2 linked regions of the Canis lupus familiaris genome follow. The protein of the gene in region 1 purifies or fractionates together with the protein of each later gene. This does not show direct contact. Links are inferred from orthologs where the notes say so. Each region holds a gene or a part of one and is shown on either strand. Other genes may lie near its edges.

What was found. The genes of interacting proteins can lie anywhere in the genome.
Region 2: the proteins of PRDM16 (region 1) and CTBP1 purify together in Homo sapiens (affinity purification with mass spectrometry; 3 studies listed by BioGRID and IntAct, with this or other methods). This does not show direct contact. The link is inferred for Canis lupus familiaris from reciprocal best matches to the Homo sapiens genes PRDM16 and CTBP1.

Annotation. Positions count from the first base shown.
Region 1 is NC_049226.1:58,176,848-58,183,005, reverse strand, and holds the start of PRDM16 (histone-lysine N-methyltransferase PRDM16), read right to left. Parts: upstream 3,370-6,158; 5' UTR 3,126-3,369; coding exon 3,089-3,125; intron 1-3,088. UniProt on the Homo sapiens protein: Binds DNA and functions as a transcriptional regulator. Displays histone methyltransferase activity and monomethylates 'Lys-9' of histone H3 (H3K9me1) in vitro.
Region 2 is NC_049224.1:91,997,596-92,003,035, reverse strand, and holds part of CTBP1 (C-terminal-binding protein 1), read right to left. Parts: exon of another isoform or gene 4,405-5,440; coding exon of another isoform or gene 3,274-4,404; exon of another isoform or gene 2,553-3,273; intron 1,765-2,552; coding exon 1,620-1,764; intron 1-1,619. UniProt on the Homo sapiens protein: Corepressor targeting diverse transcription regulators such as GLIS2 or BCL6. Has dehydrogenase activity. Involved in controlling the equilibrium between tubular and stacked structures in the Golgi complex.

The DNA.
Region 1 (6,158 bases):
ACTATCCCCAGGCCTGGACTATGTCATGTCTAGTTGTCTTAGCACGTCCATGGTGATCAGGTCTCGGGGCGGCTCTGATGGGGGCTCTCTGAGAGCACATCGTCTCGTGCACAGGGCCCCCCAGCTGTGCTACAAGGGCAGGAGGGCACCTGGGCTGTGTAGACCCCCATACCTGCCCATCTGGTTCACAACAGTGGCAGAAACACAAAGCTTTTGTTAGGCGTTTTGTGTTTAAATGTAGGGCAGGGACAGCCCCGATTCCCCACGGGCCAGCAAGCGCCCTGGCCTGTGTGAGGGGACCTGGACCTACCTGCCTTCACTCTGTCCCCAGCTGCCTAGGCTCCCTCTGTGAGGTGGTGAGCACCTCAGGGCCCTCTGTCCTTGGAAAGCTCAACTCACAGCCCCCAGGGTGGGCCCCAGAAGTGCCACCAGCTCAGTCTGCATGCAAGCCCCGCAGGGAGACCCCTGGAGTGGGGTCCTAGTGAAACACAAACGAAATTACAGCCACAGATGCAGCCTCCGGGGCAGCCCTCAAGCTCTGACTCAGGGGTGACACTCACTCACTCACTGACCAGGTTGTCCTTCTGCTCCCCGCACATGGCTTCAGGCACAGCCCAGCCCTGCACCCAGGCCTATAACTGTGACCTCTCTTTCTTCCCCCAGCCCCCTGCCCCTGGCCTCGATGTGGCTTGCAGGAGGAGGTTCTCCTGGCGGCACTGGGGCTGCCCTGCTGCCTCAGATTCAGGTTATGGAGGCAGGTCCCCAGGGACCTCCACATCTGCTTAAAATATTGTCCTATGAAATGAAATTCCTCAGCGGATCCTGTGCTCCGTATCGGGCAGGCAGCTGTGGCCCTGTGCCGGCCTCGGCCACCTCTTCGGGCAGGGCTGGGGACAGCTGTCCCGGCTGTGAGGGGTTTCCAGCGCTTGCTCCTGCGGGCTCCAGCGGGGTCTGGGCCGGACACACTTGCCCCGCTTTGGCTCCTTCTCACCATGGACTCCCAGGACAGGGAGACCTGTGCTCTGCCCTATCTTCGATTCTGGTCCCCTGGCCTCAGGGCCAGGCACCCATTCCAAGTGGTGAGAAGAGCCAACAGGGCCCCCTTCCCCACCTGTTGGGGTGGAGCAGGCAGGGAGCCGAGTGCAGGACGCTTTGCTGTTTCCAGGGCTGCGCTGGGGGCTCTGAGCCGCCTCTCGCTTACAGCGAAGGCCCAGCCAGAGCGCGGCTGCACGTCCCACCGTAGGGCTCCAGCCGCAGGTCCTTCCTCGGCCCGAGCCTGACCGGGGCAGCCTGCAGCCCAGGAATGAGACTCAGGAAGCCGCCGTGCTCACACACCAACACCCACACCCCCAGGCCTGCGGGCCCACAGGTAGCGGGCACCCAGCCCTGGCGCACCAGCCACAAAACACTGGGGCCTTGTTCGCACCAAGAGGGGCCAGAGGTCAGGGGAGACGGAGGAGGCCGAGGCCCCGAGCACCGGGCAAGGGAGACGCGCCGGAAAGGTGCGCCTCCAGGAGGAGCCCCACACAACTCGGGGGCTCCGGGCCGTCCTGCCTGCGCCGGGAGCTGCTTTTCCCCGGTGCTCCATGGCGCGCGCCGGGCCTAGCCCCGCGGGGCCGCTGTCCCGGGAGCCAGGCCGACCCAACCACGACAGCACAACTTCTTCGGAAAGTGTCGGAGTTCCCAGCCCACCAGGCTCGTGCTCGGGGGCTCAGCCCCGGTGCGGAGGCTCGGCCGGCCAGGGTCAGGCGGGAGAGGGGCGGGCGGAGCGGCCTGGTGGTCGCGCGGGGATCCCAGGGGAGCTGGCCTGGCGCCCCCGGCGTGGGTGGGCGGGCGGCCGGCGGAGGAGCGGGCGGCTGGCACCGCGGCGCCGGTTCGTCCCCGCGCGGCGCTCCCGCTTCGCTGCAGCCGGGCCTCGGCCGGGGCTTCGGGAGCCGCGCTCTCCCCGCCGCGGCTCCGCCGCTCCCACCTGCCCTCCGCCGGGGCCGCGGTCCCGGGCCCGCGGGCCTCCCCGCCGATGGCGCCAGCGGTCCGGGAGTGGAGGGAGCGCGGGGGCCCGGGCGCGGCGGCAGGCGGCGGGGCGAGCGGCGGGCGCACCGGGCCGGCGGCGCGGACCCGGCGGGCGGCGGGCCGGGCGCGCGGAGCTCGGGGCTCGGCCCGAGACGGAGCGAAAGAGAAAGTAAGAGCGGGGACCGGGCAGCGTCGCCGCGGGCAGCTCCGTCCCCTCCGGGCCTCGGGGCTGCGCGTGCGGCCGGGGCGAGGGGGGCGGCGGCGGCGGCGGGAGGCGGGGGCGGCCGGGCGGGGACCCTCCCGCCGGAGGCACGGGCTCCCTCCCGGGCCGGCCGCGCGGGTGCCGGGGTCCCGGAGTCCCGGAGGAGCGCCCGCCGCCGCGCGGGGCACGGGGCGGGAATACACTTGGCGGCCGCGGGGCCGGCCCCGGAGGACGTGTCCGTGTTGCCGCCCCGGCGGCCGGGCTGTCGTGCCGCCGCCCCTGCCCTGCGCCCGCGAGGCGCGGTGGACGCCGGCCCGCGCCCCCTCCTCCGCCCCCTCCCCGGCTCGGGGTCTCCCTCCTCTGCGCCCAGCTGGCGGACGCCAAAGGCGGTGCTCTAGCGCCCACTATTTCAAAAGCCCGGAATATGATTTGACCAGGACTGAGAGCCACTCCGAGAGAGAGAGGGAGAGAGCGAGCGAGGAGGAAAAAGTTGCTCTCCCCTTTCGTCAACTTTTCGCTAACTTTCGCTTTTCGCTCCCCTCCACCCCCAGCCCTCCCCCTCCGCCCCCCTCCCCGGCCCCCACCGCGCGCCTCGGGTTCCCGGGCCCGAGCGCCTGACACTGGGGGGGGGAGGGGGTTCGCGAGGAGGGGGCCGGCGCCTTCGGGGAGCGCGCGGCCCGGGCGCCCCGAGCCTCTGCGCCGAGCCCGGCCGCCCCGGAGCGCGGGAGGCGGAGCAGCCCCCGGGCCGCGCGGCCGACCGGAGGGCCGGGAGCCCAGGGCGCGCCGGCCGCGCCCCGACGCGCACCCCTGGCCCGGGCGCCCCGGCCCCGCGGCCCGGACCCGGCGGCGCGGCGCGGCCGAGCGCGGGAGACTTACTTTTGGCTAGCTTCCTCGCCCTCGCCTTGGATCGCATGGTGTCGGCTCGCGGAATCTCTCTCCTCCTCCTTGAGTCCAGAAGCAGCTACACACTATCTTCATCTCCCCAGCATTGTCAGTTTGGACACCTTCGCACATGCGCACACAGCACTCAATCTGACACCCCTCGCCGGGGCCAAAAAAACTTTGCAATGTATTCATCATCCTCATCGTCGCGCCGCCGTCGCCGCCGCCGCCTCGGCGCGGGATTGGGGGGCTCTCCTCGGCCTTCCCGGTCTTCCTCTCACTTATCTCTCCCCCCCCCCGCCCCCTCTCCCCCCTCCCCTTTCCAGCGCAGCTCGGAACTGGCCCTTTAAGAACACATTCCGTGCTCTGCGCTCCCGCCCGGGGCCCGCACCCCGGACACTTTAAAAGGACCCAGGTGGCCCCGGAGGCGAGGTGACGATGCCCCCACCCTGCCCCTGCGCCGGCCGCGGGCGGAGTGGCGGCGGCGCGGGTCCGCGCCCCTTCCCAGGACGGGGGCGGGGGGGGGACGCGCCCACAGTTCGGACGCGGGTCTGGCTGGGTTGGCTCCGTTTTATGGCATTTTATTCCTAATTAAAAAGCTTTGCGTCCCGCGTCGCCCCGGCCTGCTCTTCTCCCCGCGTCTCCCCGCGGCCCCCGCCCCGCCCCGCCCCCGCCCGAGGGGGTGTCCCAGCCGCGCGCGCCGATCCCGGCTCCGCCGAAGCCTCCTCCGGAGCCCCCTCCGGGCCCCGCCGCCCCCCTCGGCCTGCCCGGCTCCCGCCCCTCCCCTTCGCCCCCACCCCAGCGCTGCGGCTCCGGGCTCCGCGGCTCAAAAACAACAGCGGTGGCGCCGCCAGCTCCGCGCTCCGCCACAATCCCGGCGGCCGGGGACACTCGGACCCGCCGCGCTCCGTCCGCGCGGAACCGCGGAGAGCCGCGCGCGCGGGCACCGGGGAGGCTGCGCGGGGGGCCGGCGTCCGAACCCGGCCACCGCGGGGGCGGGCCCCAGGTGAGTACCCGCCGCGCGAGCCCCCGAGCTGGGCCACCCTCGGGGAAGTGGCCGCTCGCGGCCCAGGTGAGGAGCGGGCGGGAGGGCCGGCGGAGCAGGTGGCAGTGCGAGGGCGGGAGCTGACCGGGTGCTTCTACCTCGCAGCCCTCCGACGCGGAGGGGAACTCGAAACGTCCGGGCCAGGGGCCTGGGAACTCCTCCCGTGTGTCTGAGATTGGAGAGGGACATGGGGGCCGACGCAGGCGCTGACCCCGGCCCTGCCGGGGACGCGGGCTCTGCGGGCTTAGGGACCTAAAGCTTCCCCGGAGTCAGCCTGAGCGGGGCAGAGGTCGAGCCTTTGCTGGGGTCTCTGCAGCCGCGGGTGGGCTCCTGGCTGTGCGCCACTCCCCGTGTGCCCCATTTGTCGTGCCGTGAGACGAGTGGCACCCGAGCCCTCACCACGGGAGAGGTGAACGGGTAAGGGCGGAAGGACTAACACGGAGACCCTGGGGTCCTAGCCGAGGCGCTCAGGATGGCGAGGGGTGTGTGGCCGGTGCTACCCCCGAGGAAGAGCTCCACAGAACAGGGCTTGGCGGGAGCCAGAAGCGGCGGTGCGCCGGGCCTTCCCGCCTCCGCACTTCACAGCTGCCTTCCTGTCTGAATTCAACTGGCCGGAGCGTCCACGGTTTCAGGGGTGCCCAGCCTTGCACTCTGCTTGCAGCCCCAGACGGAGAAGGCACTCTCCGCCCTGCTCTGTTTCTCCCTGAATTGAATGCAGCCTCCACTGTTCTCCGGCCCTAGGTGAGTGTTGACCACCGGCACCAACAGGGGCTCCAGGGGCAGCTCAGTCCCCTTGCCTGCGTCCTTCTGAGGGTCTGTCCCCCGCACCCCTCGCTCTGCCTGTCCCCGTGGGCTTCGTGGAGAACTGCCCGGTCAGAGGCTCCTTGGGCCTTGCTGCCAGGTTCTGGGGTTTGGGTGGGCCACCCCTAGCAGAACCCACTCAGTCTCAAGGTGAGGGGTCACTGGGAGAGGAAGGAAGGAACCTGGAGCTCAGAACTGGGAGTTGTTCTGCTTACCCCAGCCAGGGCAGGCTTCAGCCCATGGACCTCACCTGGCTGTCGCGCCACTGGCCAGAAACAACACAAGGTCACCCTCCTATCTCAGCCTCCCTCGTCCTCCTTGCTGGGAGCCTCCTAGCAAGTTTGGGTAGGAGACCTGGGGGGAATAGGGTGGTGCCTTCGAAGTACTCCCACCTGCACAGAAGGTCCTACCCTATCCTCCACTCCCCACCCAAGTTCAGGCTTCCTTTCCCTCTGGCCTGGAGGCAGCCCTGTAGACTCCAAGGTTCAGAAGACCCAATCTTCTTCTGGGGGCACCCCAGCTCACTCTGGCCCTCTCTCTCAGCTCAGAAGGTGATTAAAATCTTCTGGATCCTGGCCAAGCTGTGCCAGGACACTCTCTAGACTCTGGGACTGCACCCCTTTCCAGGGCCTGGGGAAGGAGGGCAGGTGGGAGGCTGCACTGTCTCTTCTCTGCCCCCTGCCAGGGCCCTGGGGCGGGGGTAGGGGCTGCAGCTCCGGGTCTGCCTGGGGAGAAAGAACCAGGGCTCAGAAATGACAGGAGATGACCTAGCTGCTGACATCCCCAGGTGCCGCTCCGGGCAGCGCACTCACTCCCATCAGCCCCAGGCTGTTGCAGGAGCCTGGGCAGACTGTCCCCAAGGCCACGGCCCTGGCCTGGCCGGGCCCTGCCCCCGCGTGGCCGGATTTAGAACCGAGAACAGGTCAGGCTATGCAGAGTCCGCAGAGAGAAGGGTGAAGAAGAGGGAACCAGACATGGGTCCAGACCGCAGCCCAACGTTGCAGACATTTGGGGACTGGGACATGGGGGAACAGGTATGGGCCCGGTGAGGGTGAAACAGGAAGAGGAGTGCTTTTCAGCTTGTTGATACTGAAAGGTTGGAGGGCACTTTTCAAACCTTGCCAAGCTTCAGGGAGTCTTGTGACTGGCTTAGGGGACCTGGCACTGGGGTGTGGGAGTGCTGCCACTAACCTTGGCTTCCTACTGTGGGCCGAGTGG
Region 2 (5,440 bases), on another chromosome or scaffold:
TCGGCCCCCAGGCCATTTGGGACCTGGCTTTGGACGGAGTGGCCCTGTCCTCACAGCCCCACGGCCCCCACCGCCCCTCAGCAGCCCTGCGGAGTGAGCTGAGGCTTCTCTATGCCCAGCACCTCCGCGCTTCTACCCGCCTCTCCCGAGCCTGGCCCCTCCCGCCTACCTATCCTGCCCTGCCGCCTCCTCGCCCCTGCCCCTGTGACTGCACAGTGCTTCCCGGGGACTGGTCACCTCCCTGCCGAGGGGAGGGCGCCTACCGGTTCCTTGCGCTACCCTAAATGCCAGGATGATGCCCAACACGTGAACAGGGCTTTGTGAGAGGGCCCAGAGCGGATCCTCCACTCCCTTCTGGAAACATCTCAGCCCACCGTGAACACAAGAGATGAGGAGCAGGAGGACCAGGTGACAGGGACACCATCCCCTAGATCTGGGGACACACGGCCAGGGTGACCACAGGGCATGGCCCTGATTGTCCCTGGTAGAGGAACAGAGCCCAGCCTGTAGAATCACAAGACAGGACAGACTCGGGGAACAGGGATAAAGCCCCCCGGGAGTCCCCGGGGCAGAAAGCATCCAGGCTGTGGTCAACTCTGCTGCAGGGGCCTTTGCTGGGGATGCAGCCTGGGGACGGGTGACAGTGGGGCGGGAGGGCTCCATCATGTGAGCCAGCAGAGGGCACGAGGGTCCTCGCGAGAGCAGAATAAACCGAGTCTGCGGTAGACGCAAATGGCAGGCCGTTCTGACCCCGGTTCTTCAGCTGCACCAGGGGAAAGGACTGGCAAGACCGGGCATGGGGAGGGTGGGGTCTGTGTGTGCAGCTGCGTGCCCTGCTCATGGGGGGGGGTCACCCCTGCAGCTGCGCACCTGCTCATGGGGGGGTCACCCCTGCAGCCACGTGCCCTGTTCATGGGGGGTCACCCCTGCAGCCACGTGCCCTGCTCATGTGGGGGGCGTCACCCCTGCAGCTGTGCGCCCTGCTCATGAGAGGGGTTCATCCTTGCAGCCGTGTGGCCTGCTCATGTGGGGGGGTCACCCCTGCAGCTGTGCGCCCTGCTCATGGGGGGGGTCACCCCTGCAGTTGCACACCCTGCTCATGAGGGGGGTCACCCCTGCAGGTGTGCACCCTGCTCATGGGGGGGTCACTCCTGCAGCTGCCTGCCCTGATCATGGGAGGATCACCCCCTGTAGCTGCGCGCCGACATGGGGGGGTCGCCCCTGCAGCTGCGCACCCTGCTCATCGGGGGGGTCACCCCTGCAGGTGTGCACCCTGCTCATGGGGGGGAGGTTACTCCTGCAGCTGCCCGCCCTGATCATGGGAGGATCACCCCCTGCAGCTGCACCCTGCTCAAGTACCAGCTCCCCTCCCCAGGCGCGGGGAGGAGGTCAGAGCACGTGACCCCTACAAAGTTTTCTGAGAGAGCCGGTTTGACTGGGGAGTTTGGGGGGGGGCCTGAACCCTGAAAGATGCTCACAAGTGACCTCCAACCAAATACGGGCCTGCAAGGGAATCCTTGGTGTAAAGCAAAACCAAAGGACGAGAGGAAAGCTGAGGAGACCGCGCCGAAGAAGCAACACCCCAAGTCGCAAAAGGGAGGAAACACCCGGCGTCCTACCTAAATCCCCAGCTGACTTGATGTCGATGTTGTCGAATCCGCTGCCGATCCTGACGATGATGCGCAGAGCTTTGAACTTCTCCAGGTCCTCCCTGGTCAGCGTGATGGTGTGGTACATCAGCGCCCCCACCGCCTCGTTCAGCACCTGCCGGCGGAGGGGCCACGCGGTCAGGGGCCGGGCCCCGCTGGGGAGCTGCAAACGTCCCCCCGAAACCGCCCCCCCCGCCTCCGCTGTGTGCTGGGGACTGCGGACATCCTAGGGCAGCAGCCACTGCTGTGACATCCGAGGGGACCGCAGGGTGACCTGCTGGCTCTGCGCTCAGACCCCCAAGCAGCCCGAGGCCGCGCCCCCGGAGAGAAGCGCTGGGCAGGGCGGGTAGGAGGCTCGCCTTCCGCGTGGACACCAGGCAAACAGGAGCGCAGGAGGACACAGCCTCGGAACCGCAGGGCCCGCCGGGGCGCGGACGGCACGCACACGGGTCGGAGCCGGGGCCCGGGTCAGCCCGCTTCGCCACGGCCCCATCTGCGCCCACACGCAGGCCCTGACGCTGCCCACGCGTCTCCGGGCCTGGCTGCCGTTCGTGAAGCCCCAGGAGCAGGTCAGTGTCCTGTCTCCCGAGTTTGCACAACGTGGGCCGAGGCGCTACTGTTTGCAAACCGCCCAACCGGGGCGACCTCTGGGAAGCGGGGGCTCCAGCCCCGCCCCGCCCCGCAGGAACCACAGCTGCAGCTCTGCGCAGGTGCGGACAAGACCTGGACGGGAGGGCACGCCCCCCGCAGGGCCAAGCGCACGGAGACCACGCCCCCACAGGCCACGCCCCCGCAGGGCCAGGCTCGCAAGACCACGCCCCCCGTAGGGCCCAGCAATACAGACCACGCCCCCCGAAGGGCCAGGCCCGCACGGGTCACGCCCCCGCAGGGGCCACACCCCCACAGGACCCAGCAATGCAGACCACGCCCCCCGAAGGGCCAGGCCCACAAGGCCACGCCCCCGCAGGCCCCAGCAATGCAGACCACGCCCCCTGCAGGGCCAGGCCCGCACAGGCCACGCCCCCGTAGGGCCCAGCAATACAGACCACGCCCCCCGCAGGGCCAGGCTCGCACAGGCCACGCCCCCGTAGGGCCCAGCAATACAGACCACGTCCCCCGCAGGGCCAGCCCCGCACGGGCCACGCCCCCGCCGGGCCAACCGCACGCAGACCACGCCCCCTCAGGGCCACGCCCCACAGGCCCCAGCAATACAGACCACGCCCCCGCAGGGCCAGGCCCGCACAGGCCACGCCCCCGTAGGGCCCAGCAATACAGACCACGCCCCCCGCAGGGCCAGGCTCGCACAGGCCACGCCCCCGCAGGCCCCAGCAATGCAGACCACGCCCCCGCAGGGCCAGGCGCGTGCACAGCACCCCAGCTGGTGCCTCCTGACCCTCGAGGCCTGCAGGTGGGCGCCACAGCCGGGCTGTGGTCAGGGGTGGGGAATGCCTGGCTCCCGGGGCTTTGTCCCAGGTCCAGGAGGGCAGCCCCGTGAGTGGTGCCTTCCAGGGCGTGATCCGCAGAAGTCGCGCACGGACCTCAGCCAGACGCCGGTGGGTGCCTACGGTGTCCGGTCTCCAGGCCCAAGGGCCGGGGACCCAGGATGGTCCAGGCGCACGGAGCCTCACAGCCGAGGGCCGGGGTTGTCCTTCCCTAGGGGACGCAGAGCAGCCTTCCTATCGAGGACACCTCCCACCCAAGGGCATGCGCTGGCTGCTGGGCACCGCAGCCCGGCGTCCGCCACGCTGCCCTCCTCCAGACTGAGCTTCTCGTGCTGGCTCTGGGTGTCCTGGCCGGCGAGGGACGCCAACAGCAGGCCATGGTGACCTTGAACCCCAGGATGAGGAAGGCAGCGAGAAGTGGTGCCCAGGACAGCCTGGACTCGGGGCTGATGTGAGAGGCACAGTAGGGGTCCTGCGTGGGGTGCAGGGCCCATGGGGAGGCTGCTGACTGCTCCTCTCATCTGCTTCTCTACAGCAGCTGAGCTTGTCGGACAGAGGGCAACCCAAAATACAGACCATTCCAAGGCTGGCCAACGTGGCCCGGGGCACGTGCCCACAGGGACCCCACACGGGCCAAGGGGGCGCGGGCTGGCTGGGCCTTCAAGGGACTGCAAAGTGCCGCTGGCCCCTGCTCCTGTTCCTGCACTGAGCGTCCTGGGGATCTCTGCTCCTGCAGGCAGGGAGCTGCCCACGTCCTGACGCCTCCCCCTGGACTCCCAGGACGTCAAGGCTGCATGTACTCCCACTCCCTGCCTGGCCCGTGGGGTGGGTGAGGACCCTCGTGCGACAGCCAAGTAGTAGTGCTGTGCACGGGGAGCACACAGGGAGGGCTTGGACGGAGCGGGGAGGGCAGACCTTGCCACCCTGTGCTGAGCTGCGTGGACCGGAGAGGAGGGTAGCCTCGGACACAGCTGTGCCCTGGAAAGAGGACAGACGCATCCAGGGACAGATGGACTGTGGAGGGGGAGGCTGCAGGGTGAGTCTGAGTCTTGGGCCTGGGCACCCAGATGCATGCACGGGCCTCTTCCTGGGGTGACCGGGCAGAGGCACTGGCCTGGGGACAGGCGGGGAGGAAGAGTGTCCAAGCACGGGCAGGTGTGTGTGCCCACGCCTGAGCCCTGAGCCATGGCAGGACGCAATCGCATCACGACTGTGACTGTGCCTGCTCCGTCCCAGCGTGGACAAGCCAAGACGCATGCCAAGTTCCAACTGCTGGGGTGTCTGGGCTGCTCCGCTGTTGGCTGTGCTGCCATAAAAATCCACAATTTCGGGGATCCCTGGGTGGCTCAGCGGTTTGGTGCCTGCCTTAGGTCCACAGCGTGGTCCTGGAGTCCCGGGATTGAGTCCCACGTCAGGCTCCCAGCATGAAGCCTGCTTCTCCTTCTGCCTGTGTCCCTGTGTCCCTGTGTCTTTGCCTCTCTCTTTCTATATATATATCTATCATGAATAAATGAATAAAATCTTAAAAAAAAAAATTCCACGATTTCCTGGAGGTCGGTCCTCGGAGCTGGAAAGCAGTGGGTCCATCGGAGAAGCCTCTGAGAGGGTGTCGGTGTGGCAGCTGGCCGCACCCGGGGGGCCGTTCACCCACTGGCACCCACTTCACGACGCCCAGCAGGGCAGAGTTTGAGATGCTGCGTGTGATGGACACAAACTGGCCATCTGTTACCTTAGTCTCAACGTGCCTGAGTGTGACCTACTGACGTTTCTTAATAAATTGGTTTCATGTCCGATTCCTTTTTCTACTGAGCAGCTGTAATCACGTGGTGCCCAGCGAGGCGTTCTCAGGGCAGAGACCACCCCAGCTCAGGGCTGCCCAACCGCCCTGGGAGGACCGGCTCGGCTGCAGGCCTGCACACAGGGAGCTCCGTCCAGGGGACCCAGGCCTGGGCCACCGCACTCCTGTGGCCAGCCCCGAGCTCCTCTCCAGGGGGCTGCTCACGCCCCGTCAGGACTGCGGAGTGGCTGGGATCCCGCCAGGCATCACATGGACTCCCAGGGAGGTGGTCTGCGGGGGGCCCCCAGGTGTTCACTCACGTCACCACGTGCCAGCTGTGACCAAGTTTGTCAGGCTTGAGGACCTGACCGCGTCCTCACCCCAGAATGGAGTGCCACGGGGCCAGTGGCAGCAGGGCGGGGGACTCAGTGGGCAGCTCGCGGAGAGAAGCCAAGGCCTACTGCGCCGCATCGGGGCCTCGCTCCTGCCCCTCACACACAGGTGCCCGATGCACAAGGTTCCGGGACTTCTGCACACCTGACTTTCTAGGACCACACCGAGGGTGTGGCTCG